Linked DNA regions of Oryzias latipes. The protein of the gene in region 1 interacts with the protein of each later gene in a pairwise test. Links are inferred from orthologs where the notes say so. Each region holds a gene or a part of one and is shown on either strand. Other genes may lie near its edges.

What was found.
Region 2: the proteins of eif4enif1 (region 1) and eif4e2 interact in binary tests that used the Homo sapiens proteins (3 or more experiments, as listed by UniProt). The two-hybrid records come from large-scale screens. The link is inferred for Oryzias latipes from reciprocal best matches to the Homo sapiens genes EIF4ENIF1 and EIF4E2.
Region 3: the proteins of eif4enif1 (region 1) and efhc1 interact in binary tests that used the Homo sapiens proteins (3 or more experiments, as listed by UniProt). The two-hybrid records come from large-scale screens. The link is inferred for Oryzias latipes from reciprocal best matches to the Homo sapiens genes EIF4ENIF1 and EFHC1.

The regions. Positions count from the first base shown.
Region 1 is NC_019863.2:605,618-609,117, reverse strand, and holds part of eif4enif1 (eukaryotic translation initiation factor 4E transporter), read left to right. Parts: intron 1-1,326; coding exon 1,327-1,463; intron 1,464-2,353; coding exon 2,354-2,432; intron 2,433-2,508; coding exon 2,509-2,629; intron 2,630-2,709; coding exon 2,710-3,027; intron 3,028-3,120; coding exon 3,121-3,264; intron 3,265-3,344; coding exon 3,345-3,500. UniProt on the Homo sapiens protein: EIF4E-binding protein that regulates translation and stability of mRNAs in processing bodies (P-bodies). Plays a key role in P-bodies to coordinate the storage of translationally inactive mRNAs in the cytoplasm and prevent their degradation.
Region 2 is NC_019875.2:23,172,750-23,176,972, reverse strand, and holds the start of eif4e2 (eukaryotic translation initiation factor 4E type 2), read right to left. Parts: upstream 2,801-4,223; 5' UTR 2,772-2,800; coding exon of another isoform or gene 2,752-2,771; 5' UTR 2,678-2,751; coding exon 2,655-2,677; intron 2,498-2,654; exon of another isoform or gene 2,382-2,497; intron 2,021-2,381; coding exon 1,909-2,020; intron 1,823-1,908; coding exon 1,688-1,822; intron 1,581-1,687; coding exon 1,476-1,580; intron 1,387-1,475; coding exon 1,234-1,386; intron 882-1,233; coding exon 745-881; coding exon of another isoform or gene 741-744; intron 1-740. Other genes in the region: capn10 (calpain-10), read right to left, coding at 3,927-3,956, 4,196-4,223. UniProt on the Homo sapiens protein: Recognizes and binds the 7-methylguanosine-containing mRNA cap during an early step in the initiation. Acts as a repressor of translation initiation.
Region 3 is NC_019882.2:6,991,350-6,995,565, forward strand, and holds the start of efhc1 (EF-hand domain-containing protein 1), read right to left. Parts: upstream 2,801-4,216; 5' UTR 2,635-2,800; coding exon 2,569-2,634; intron 2,220-2,568; exon of another isoform or gene 1,950-2,219; intron 1,628-1,949; coding exon 1,376-1,627; intron 1,294-1,375; coding exon 1,009-1,293; intron 900-1,008; coding exon 750-899; intron 476-749; coding exon 295-475; intron 182-294; coding exon 1-181. UniProt on the Homo sapiens protein: Microtubule inner protein (MIP) part of the dynein-decorated doublet microtubules (DMTs) in cilia axoneme, which is required for motile cilia beating.

The sequences.
Region 1 (3,500 bases):
ACATCAGTGTTTTTTGGCAAATGTCCACTTTCTGCCTTGGCAGAAAAATCACAAGGAAACTGAAAATGTAAGAAAACTGGTCTGTGTTCATGATGTACCAATCCCTCTGGATAATAGTTTAATAGTTTTAACATGGCTCTAACAAATGTTTTTGTTTAATTTTAGTGAAAAAAATTAGCCTTAATTCTGTTCCTTTTTTTATTGCTAATATTGAAACTTTGCTTAATTGTTTCAATAGTGCTTGAAGTTTGAGCTAGAATTTGTCCTTCAATACAGACATTGATCTTTCTAACGGAAGCAGCTGATTTCCACAGACTTGAACTCTGGAATCTCTGGCTGTTAATAACACAAACCTCAAAAGAGAACATAATAGTGTTTGTTTGTGTGCATTGGGCCTTATGATGGTTAGCAGTAGGAGATGTTGTCGCATTAACCCAATGAGTCACTGGTGATGTGGTCCGAGAACGGCAGCGCTGATGCAGGACAGACTCCTGTCTAAGCATTGTTAGAGTTTTACATGATCTGACAGCAGATCCTGTGGGAAGCTACGCCGCCAAACACGACCTTCTGTTGGAACTGATGGACTTTATGAGCCATGTCAGCACAAGGAAGATGTTCACCGCGTGTCTTTGGTTGGATTGACATGTATGATTAAGACTCCAACAATAATTGGCTGAGACATTTTAAGGGGTTGAACTTTTTCCAAAATGAGAGCAGTTGGCAGTCATTCCCAGCTACTGTGTCAGTCCTACTCCTGTTTGGCTGAACGCGGCTCATCTCCTCCTAAGTGTTAGTTACACCAATGATGCAAAATGGACGACAGCACACTTGACCATCTGTCACAGCTCACGGGGTTAAAAAAAGCACTGGTTTAAGCTGCACTGGTGGTGCAGTGGTCAGCGCTCTTGTCTCACAGCAAGAATGTTCCTGGTTCAAGTCCCGGCTGGGGGATCTGAACCAGAACATCAAAGGAGGGCGTTTCTGTGTGGAGTTGGCATGTTCTCCCCGTGCATGCGTGGGTTTTCTCCAGGGACTCCAGCTTCAAAGGTTCATTGGTTACTCTAAATTGTCCCTAGGTGTGCATGTGTGTGTGCATGTGTGTGTGATTGAAGACCTGTCCAGGGTGTCCCCTGCCTTCACCCACAAGTGGCCAGGATAGACTCCAGCAGCCCCGTGAACCCGAAAGGGACAAAACGGAAGAAGATGAATGAATGATGGTCAAGATGCCAAACGGTCTTCCTAGAAACCTGCATGACCCTTTATTGTGTGTGTGTGTGTGTTGTCCAAACAGGGGTCTAAAGCTTTATTGTCGTTTGTATCGTCCAGATTAGAGCACTGTCTATGCCTATGAATCAAGTGGACCTGGAAGCCCTGACCTTCCACCAGGACCTCGCTCTTCATGCTCACCAACCCTTCCAGCAAGCTTACAACAAGCAGCCCCAGGACAGGGCTTTTCGGAATAGGTTTGATTTTGCTCTTTCTATCTAAACTAGTACTGGACAATGGTTAACGTGTGAAAGTGTGATTAATGGCAGGAGTTTTCATGATGAGTTGTTTGTGCCTGCAAAGGTTTATGCATTGAAACGGATTCTTTTGAGGAATTTTAATTTCAAACTAAGAGCTGCATATCCAGAAGAAAATGCAGGGTTGAACAGTGTATTGCTGAATGAAAATGAAACTTAAAGGGTAATAATTGGCAAAAAACTTTTTTTTTAAATGCCAGAGCCGGGTATCGAACCAGCGAGCTTCTGCACCAAGGATTCCCCATTTATTTCAATAGAGGCAGAAATCCTGGAATATCTGGAAAAGTTCAAGGATTTGAAGGACCAAAAGTCACAGCTGGAAAAATCTGAACGAGCTGAACATTTGAAAGGTTGAAATAAATGAAAAATTGTAGAAGTTAAGCAGCAAAAAATGGAGGAAGATACTAGAATAAAGAAAAACAGGAAAACAGTGATTGAATGATTTATAGTATTCAACCAATAATTGGCCAAAAAGAAAGTGATCAAAGTGGACCATAAATAAAGTGAATTTTCTTTAAAATAAAACGGTTGCAATGAAATAGAAATGATGTAATCGTTTTTCTATTTGTTCGTGTATCTTAAGTCACATGGTCATCGCAGTATTGATCACTAATAATTTACATCACAGGTTTTGCTCATATCCTGCAGTCCTGGTGTATTTTATTACTCCATTGTTGGCAGCTTGCGTGCCTCAATCATTTATTTATTGTCAGTGTTTTAACATTGATCCAATTCCCTGAAATGTGGCACAAATGTACAAACCTGAAAGTGGAGCACATGACTTGTTTGGTTTTTGGGTTTGGCTGACTTTGGTTGTTTGTGATGGGCAGACCACAGCGTGTGAACCATTCCCCTGGACCTCAGCCTCCTGCTGGAAGAAACTCTCCTGGAAATGCCGTCACTAGCATGGTGAGGATGAACCTTGCTGTTGGGGTCAATGTGGTGTCCTGTTTATTAAATGCCTTGCTCTGTTGCTCTTTGGCAGTTGTCTCCATCATTTACACCCACTTCTGTAATTCGCAAAATGTATGCAACCAAGGAGAAAACCAGAGATGACGCATCCCTTCCTTCTGATGCAAAGGAGACAACTGCACCCTCACAAGATGGTCAGTTCTATTAAAGTCTCATATTTCGCACGTTTTTTTCTGATTAATTGATCAAACCTAATAAAAATTATGTTTTCCAGGCAGCAGAAGCTCTCCTAATCCTTTCCTGGAAACGTTGGATGAAAGCGTTGCATCATCAGCAGGGATGAAGGCCGCCTCACAGCCTCTGCAAAACAAAGGCCAAGAGTGTCTCAGGCCTAGTCCAAGTGGCCACCATACAGTAAACATGGTTCCCCCAGGGCCCCCTTCATCTTTCCCTCGTCCGGTCTACCCAGTGCCACTGCTGTCCCATGTCCCCATGGTACGGCCGCCTCCTCAGCTCCACCCCAATGTGGTCCAGCGAATGCTGGAACAGGGGATCCAGCCCCAGCAGCTGGGACCTGCACTTCTGCAAGCAGGTTTGTATGTGTGCGGTTTGTAAGGCACTATTACCGTTGTTGTACATCTAGTTTTTGCCTGATTTGATCACTAGATTTTTTGCAATATCTTAGCCCAACTTCAAGGCTTGCCACCTGCACTTCTTGGACAGCCACTGTACCCTGTGAGCGCCGCAGGGCATCCGCTTCTACCTCCCAGAGCCAACACTCAAATGCAGCTGGCAGTAATGCCCCCACAGCTTCAATCCCAGAGACCAAGTGAGTTCAGTGCCACAGTTCCAGTTCAAACGTATTCAGAGGTTTTCTGAAACCGTTTTTCTCCCGCTTTGTCTTTTCAGTACATCCAAGCATCCCAGTGTCACATGGCCACAGGCCTCAATGGACAAACGGCGTTCAGCGACACCGGGGCAGCTCCCCTCTTGGTCTTGCTAAATGGTTCGGCTCGGACGTCCTCGACCAACCGCTGCCTTCCATGCCGGCCAAAGTCATCAGTG
Region 2 (4,223 bases), on another chromosome or scaffold:
CCACGTTACCGCAGTATCAAGCTGTGCAATAATCATATCGCAAAAGACGGCAAAAATAGCGAAAAATGGTTACCTTAAATGTGCTAAAACAATCTTATGGCAGCTTGAAGTATTTAACCAATCAAATAGATCATTTTATGCATTTGACCAATCGGATTGAACCCTTCACGTTGTTGACCAACCGGATGGACCCCTTTCATGTTAGAGGCTCACCTCCTAAGTAGACGAGGGTCATTTGGAGTTTAATTTCAGGTATGTTGACTCTTATTTAAATTAAACTTTTGCAATGAAAAGGATATTGTGTTATTGGTTGTTTTGCTATTTGTTCATGTATCGCTAGTTACATTATAATCAGAATATTGATCACTAATATTGCGAGTTTTCCTTAAATAGTGCAGCCCTAATTCCCCTTGATGCCTATTGAGAGAACGATGCATCAAACCACTTTGGCTCCAAAATTACCTAAATTTAGCATCTATTTGAAGGCAAAAAATTAGGATTTTTTTTAAAAGCTGGAAATACATTCAGTGTAGAGGGGTTAAGGGAGGAGGATGGTTCTATGACAGCAAGACATCACACCACGATTTAAAGAAATTTATTCTAAGCATTAAAACTATAACTGATGTGCACAATTTCACTCTCAACAGGTTCCTGGTGAAAAAGGTTTATCAAATCACAAAATATGACTTTTTTTTTTAAAGCAAAAGATGGAGAGAAAATAGTAAACTGAGGAGACATACATACTTAATGCTGTCTGTGTGTGTCTTGTACTCCATGATTGTGTTGGGGGGCAGGTTGAGGACTCGGCGCAGGGTGTCTCTAATGCGGGCGGTGGTACCCTGGTCACTGGCGGTTTTATTCCAAATGGAAATGATGTCCTCCTGAAAGAAAGAAATAAAAATGGCACATCTGAGGCCTGGATAGTTAACCCTTTGGCACTGGAGCTGTTACTAACGTAAAGGGTTCCAAAATGGCGGAAAGCTGCTTTTCTCCGTCACAGAATCAGCTGATTTACGTTAATTGCGTTACAGTAGTCAAAAGAATGTAAACACTGCAGGTAAGGCATTTTCACTAAAAGCATTTAAAACTCAATTACAGTAATTATTGTCTTTGTGGAACAAAAACAACAACAACACAAAAAGAAGATAACTACGCCCTGTAAACACTTATTTACTGTCACTGTTGTACAAATGCTGTTGTAGAGCATTAGGCCTCGCTGGTGTGAGTTTTTACCTGAAAACGGACGGACACCACAGCTCCACATATTTCCTCTCCCACCATGAACTGCTCCCCCAGCATGGCCAGGATCAGGTTCTCCCAGCACCGGGACGCAAGGCCTTTTCTTAAGCGAATAATCCACTTCCCGCCCATTTTATTGGCATCATCCTAATCAGAGTTTCAAAGCAAAAACATCACTAAAGTATCCAAACACATTCCTTAAAAAGGTCATTAAAACGTGTAGCAAGTGTACACACCTCCCACATGGGCTTAATTCCTTCTTTAAACAGGTGGAAGTCACTGTGACCGGTTAGGTCGCCAGGCCGGATCATGTGACTATAGAAACGCCAGAACTGTTCCACCTGAAAAAGATCAGAGCGTTCATGGTTGTGATAGTTTGCTGCAGCACAGCCAGTGAGCAATGGCATCATTTGGCTCAGATGTGAAGAGCGTCACAGAGATGACAAACCGAGGCAAAGCTGCCGATCTGTTTAATGTTCTGTTCGTAGCTCTGGGTGCTTGCTGGTCGCCCTGGCGTGCGCCTGGAGTACCAGAAAGTGTAGTTGTACTGAAGAGGATGCTCTCCTGCTCCTGGAACCACCATCTGCAAAAGAAACGAGGAAGCTCTAGTAGGTGCCTTCAGGAATTCAGGCCGCTCTATCATGCAAACACTGAAATCTCCTAACTCACTTTTTTCTTAGTTGTGTTCTGCTCCTTTTCGTCGTCCTCAATCTTTATCGTTTCGCTATCTTTCGGTGAGCTTTGGTCCTGGTCGTGATCTCCACTGTCATCGTCTTTCAGACTGGAAACGAAAAGTTAGTTAAATTCAAAAACGATCCATCCAATGATCTTCACTTCCCTAATTCGCTGGAAAATCTAAAAAGGTGCAATGTGTTTAAATGACTAACAATGATGATATAAACCAAACTCGAGTCCATCATGAAAAATAAAAGCTGCTTAAAGGATAAAAACAGGAAAAACAAAAAGTCCATTCGTTTAAGCATGCAGTCATTACCGGGTTGCTGTTGGCTAAACTAGCCGATTAACTGGAATGTTCTTCACTTTGTATTTAATGTTGGATATTTTAACAGAAAAACGGCATCAATTTATGCACACAAATACACCAGCGTAAATATGCTAACACTACATTTGCTTTAAATCACCGTTTGATCCGTCTTCCCGTTCACAGTTTACACCGTGACTGCACACACCCTCTCCGGGCCTCTGCCCTACCACTACACCGGGGATTCGAGGCCTACCCGTCTTCCGTTTTGCTAAGCTATTGCTAGCAGCCTGGCTACACTACTCAACATAAACGCCCATAAATGTAATGCTGCTGTTCCATATGCAGTTAAAGTACACACCGGTATGACTTTCGCTGATATGCGGGTTAATAACAGATCTATCACTGCATCGTGCTGATAAAATGGACACACCTTTCGTTGAATGCGTAACGCATGATTCTTGATTCCCCGTTTCCAGACAGTGAACCGTTTTCGATCGAAGTTCTAACGCAAAAGAGCTGCTACTCACGCATCGAATTTGTTGTTCATTCTGTCCTGGCTGAGACTCGTCAGGAATCCGATCACAGCCTCCTGGAAATCGCAGGAACGGCGACGCGCAATAGAAGCACGTGGGCGCGCATGCGGTATGTTGGTCGCGGTGATGAGCTGAAGGGGTCAAGGGTGACAGTGGCACCTCTCTTCAAACATTCACAGGGTCTCTATTCAAATGTATGTGATAGAATTAACCCAAGCCCCATGAGGGTAAAATGATCCAACTTGTGTTTTAACATTTATTTATTGCACCGTACCTAATAACATGCATCATAAATACAAAACGGACAACAAAAAAACAAACATAACATAGTACCATTTTGATCAGTTGATCACTTTCAGCCCCAGTGACTGAGCAGAAACTCAGACATGGCTACCATAAGGCACACATCACTGCACATGCTCAGCCTCAATAGAGAGAACTGGCGGCTTCATCAGATGATCTGCCTCTCTCTGATGTGCCGCACTCCCCTTTTCATCCCTTCGCTTGTCACTCGTTCTCTCGGCATCTTCAAACGCTGGCTCTGTTCAGCTCCAAGCGGAGCTGTGGACCTAGTCTGGGAAACAGGATAGGAGCTGGAGACTATGTGTCTTTGGGTCAGCTTGACATTGGTGTTGGTTTCTGCTATGGGACTATAACAGAAGTCTGAGTTTTAAAAGCACACGAGGCGAAGGATGCACAGAAAGCTTATGGATAGTATGGCATGCTATGGCGTGGTGTGGCTCGGTTGGCTCTCCTGTTCCAGACCATCCCCTCACCCCTTGCCCTCTGGGTTTCTGTGAGGACCTTCATGAGAGGACTCTTTGTTTTGTGCCGGCAGGCGCTGCACTGAGTGAATGAGAAAGAGCAGAGGCGGCCTTCTTCAGTAGTGGCTGTTTGTTTACACCAGCCGGTCCCGTCATACTTCATTAGCAGCCCATCCCACCAACAAACTTTTCAGAATCGCTGACAAGTGCCTTGTTGCGCAGAAATGCAGAGTGTCAGCAGTGTTTCCGACTCCCTTCTCAGTCACTCATAATACATATATGCACCAACACTGACGTCATGGCTTTTGTGGCGAGGCTGGGTGACGGGACTGGGTTGTTTCATCGCTGGCCAAGAGGCACAGGGAGGCGATCTGATCTCACTGGAGCTGCATCCCATTGGCACAGCTAGCTTTGCATCACAGAGATGCGAGAGACCTGCCATTCAAACAGAAACGAAAGAAAGGGATTATTCAGTGCTGCCATCTTCTGACGGCTATAAAAATCCAAAACACAAGCAGCTTGTGTAAAATAACCGTTACATGATGTATAAATACATATATGCTTTCTTCTAAGTTGTAGATCGGTTTTAAAAATTGTGTAAAACTACCAATAATTAATAGCAGCAATAAAGATGCAGAAATTAACTTTAAATAAAAACAAATCAAAAGACCAACCTCCTGAATGGATCTCTGGAGTTTTTCT
Region 3 (4,216 bases), on another chromosome or scaffold:
GGTTTCATTTCCATGTCTGGGTGGTTCTCCTTGTAATACTTTTTGGTGAAGTCGTCACAGTCGCACAGCAAGAAGGAACGGGCGAGTAGTGTAACCGTTTGGCCTAGCTGAAAGTCTTTGGGGGAGTAGTACTCATCTACATCTAGGTGAGAGATCTCCATCACACAGGTGGGGAACGTTTCTGCAACAAGAACACAACTACAGAAGTCCTGTCCAAGTGACGGGTTCCATTTATAATCAGTTTGAGCATTTCTGTGAGGCGATTGAAATATAATGGTGGAAAAACGTCTTTACCTGATTTCATTTTTTTGGGTATTTTCACTCTGCGCATCACAACAGGGAAATGGTTCTGTCTTCTGCCTTTGTAGACCACCTCTCTGATCTCCACAGTATCGTCAACGAGGAAATAGTGGATGGTAACCGGCAAAGTGTACTGACGGTTCACATCCTCCCCCAGAGCAGAGAAACTGAGCACCTAAAATAGACAACAAGACGAGAACAGGACTGGTGGTTAATAGTTTTTATTTCTAACTTTAAACTGAGAGTGTATGTGGAGAGTATACATTTTTAAAAATCTGTTTTTTTCTACTAGAAAATGTAAGAATATGAAAACAAAAATACTAATTATATGGAACAGTGTTTCTCCTTTCTTACTGGGTAAAAGTACATTTTTAAGTTATTTATAGTTATTCTAAGTGTCATTGTTATTGCAATGCAACATCTGAGCAGATAATATGGATATTCTCTACCTTTCCATCCATGGTGAGAAACTGGTGCAGCTTGTCAGTTGTGGAAGGCTGAGTGTGAGGCTGTGGTGAGCCTTTGCGTTTTTTGATATAAGGATCTTCCGGTGTTGGCTCTGGTTCGTTCAAAATGATCCCTTCACTTTCCATAAACTCCTGTGTGAATGAGAGAAGAAAAGCAAGCAGGAAAAGAAACAGAAATCTACAAATGAAAATGGCTGGACACACAAAAGGAGAAGAAGTCTTAATCAGAAGAGTAGTGTACCTTTGTAAAGTCATCACACTGTGTGATGTGGTATGTGAAGCCATACACCTTCAGATCCATACCAATGTTGAGGTCTTTCCACAGGTAATACTCTCCGTGGTCATTCTTTGGTATTTTCTGCCGTTTGAGCCTCTTTCCGTGTTCGAACCCGGAGTTTTCCTCTTTGGGCTCCACAATGGTCATAGTGTCGTCCTCCAGGTGATAATAGATGACCACTGGACACACACGGTATTCTTCAGAGGAATTCAAGAATTCCTCTTTAAAGAATGCCTTGAAGCACAGCACCTTAAAAAAAAGCAGGCCGGTGATAGACCATGTGGGGAATTATTTGGAAATAATTAATGCTTTTATCAATTTGAGTTCACACCTTCTTGTCCAGAGCCACATAAACTGGCTTAAAAGGCTCATAGACTTTCCGGTCAGAAGCGCCATACGGATCTTCTCCTGGCATCCCAAAGGAAAGATCACTGAGATGCTGGGCTGTTGTGCTGAGCTGTTCGGACAAATGAAGTTCCTGGCCGATCCCCATGGAGAGGCGCTGAGCCAGAGGATAGCCATTCTTGTAGTCCAGAGTCTGGGGTCGATGAAAGGCGGATTTCTGCGACCGCAAATCATGAAACAACAAGTTGAAGAGAAATAAATGCAAGCTCTGAATAAAAATAAAAACAGAAAACTATTGAAAATATTAGGTTTCTAGGGATTTTTTTATACTTACAAAATATTGTTTTGTTTTATAAACTGCTGACATTATTTCTGTTAAATTGAAAAGCTTCTTTTTTCCTCTATTTAAACATTTGTGTACATAAAATAACAATTGGCAGAAATAACTAGAATGTGCAGAGTTTTCATACCTTAATTAGAAAGAAATAGGCTTATTTAACTTTAAAAACACAACAAAAATAATTAAACAAATGTTCACAAAAACATTGGATGAATTTAACCTTTGATAATCCAAGCTTTAATGCATCTCGGCTTCTCCACCAGTTTTCCAATCTGCTTCAAACACTGCTCCTAATAGCCGCCTTTGAGTAATTCTCCTCGCTCCAGCAACCATTTCCATTATTTTTATAGCTCTCTTGATGCCTCCCTGCTGTTGCTGAGTGACATTTGAATAAGTAGTCGGCCATCCAGGTCTTTGGGGAGTTGTTTTTGCCCTCTGCCAGTCTCTTGTTTTTCCTCAATGTCTGCTGCTTGACCTTGTCACTTTGAGGAAGGGTCTTAGAAATGCTGAAGGATGGAATCTGAACAGTACTGAACCCTTGACATTCTTGCCTCATATCCTTTCTTATAAATACATATACTTTTCCTTGTTAAGTTTAATTTGATTCAAGTAATTAATTCAAGTAACCCAATAATTTATTGAGAAGGATAAAAAAAAAACAATTGAAAACATGACGGTTAGTAAAATAGAGATACTTCTTTCCCAACATAAGCAAATCTGCAAATCACATTTTTAGTGATCTATTGATACTTTTCAAGAAAAAAAAAAAACTATTTTAAATGAGAATTTTTTTTTTTGGAAATTTATATCCTTTTTAAATCCACCATGACGGCTCTTACTGTGTAATCCGGGAATGAATATCCGGGCAGGAATGGCAAACCATAGTTATTCCACGGAGAAGACATTTCTGGTCGGGATTTCTTCGTAACTCTCTAGTCAGGAAAGAAAAAGTTCACAATCGTCGTTTTTAACGACGCAAATAAACAGTTTGTTGGGGCGTTAAACTACAGGGAAGGACGCGCGACTGAAGCTTTGACGGTATCTATGGTAACGACGTCTAGTGTTAGCACTTGTGACGTAGCAGCAGTTTGTTTTAAATAAAGTTTGACAAAAAAAACGTAACTTTGCAAGCATCTTTTGGAAAGCAATTAATACATCTCATCTTTACAGATTGTATATCTTTCTTTTGTGTAATATGTAAATTACATATTCATAAATGTTTATTTTTTATCTGGAAATACGGTAAAAAAAAAAAATTATTTAATTTGTTAAACTACTAACGTCAAGTTCCTAATAGCACCACCAGGGGGCGAGCGAAGCTAAAAAGTCCAGACAGTTTTTGTTTTTTCACATTTACACCTTGGAAATTAAAGACACAAACTCTCTTTTCATTTCTTTCACTGGAACACATTTTCCTTTTGAAGTTTATTTCAAGCGCATAATCCATTTTGGTCATGTGGTAAAAATCACTGACACATTATATTCAAACTAAACCTTTTAGACATCTCTGGTGAGGTGGTTATTTGAATAATCTCTATAAGGAAAATAATATTAATGTGTTAAAATATCTGCTTGAAATTGGAAAAGAATGTACACATCTCTCCAGCAAATAGCATGATTTTGGTGCCGTTTTACCGTTTTTGTAGTGTTGTTTCCTTCAGATGGCAGTGACAAACACAAGCAACGTCCTGCATATTAAATAAAGGCCACTTTTAGACATTGCTTGAAAAGTGATGACCTGAAAATGCATTTTTATAGTAAAAACAGGCAGTTCTCTATTAATTTACATTTATGCCAGAGTAGATAGCAGGTGCTAAACTCGACAGAAGCATTCTGGTTTTGACACAAGCTCCACATCAGCATAGAGACAGTACTTTAAAGGGAACACAAATAGATTACATACATTTGAGATTCCAATTAATAAATAAATGTCCTATAGTTGATCAAAAAAGACTGTTGTAATCATAAACTCGACTTAAAGGGTAGAAAAGCCTCTCCGCTTTGAATTACTTTATCAAAAATAGGATTAAACTATAAAAAGGGAACCTCTTTGAGGTGCTTTACATTATATCTCCTATTCTTGTCTATAAATGCTGACAATGTGATTTCAGTCAACTCCCCCTTTTTCTAAGGAAGAGCCAAACACAGAAACACTAGGATTGCATCCCTGAGGCGCCAGACAACCTTTGCAAAGTATAAAAATATCTCATAATAAAACCTTACTTGAGAAGAAAAATACACAACATCAATGAAACATTAAATATAATAAAATATATTGCATAAGGTGTTCATCTTTTGGTTTTTATAGAGCTCAAGGCAACATCTACTGTGAAAAGATTGTCTTACACTGTCTTATTGTCGAGCGCACTTTGGTAAAAAAAAATGCCCCTCTGTTAAAGTTCACATTTCAATACTGGAGGGTAGTGAGCGTGAAGCTCAGAGTGTCACAGTCTCTTCCAGCTGCCCTGTGTGCTGTAAAACAGACCT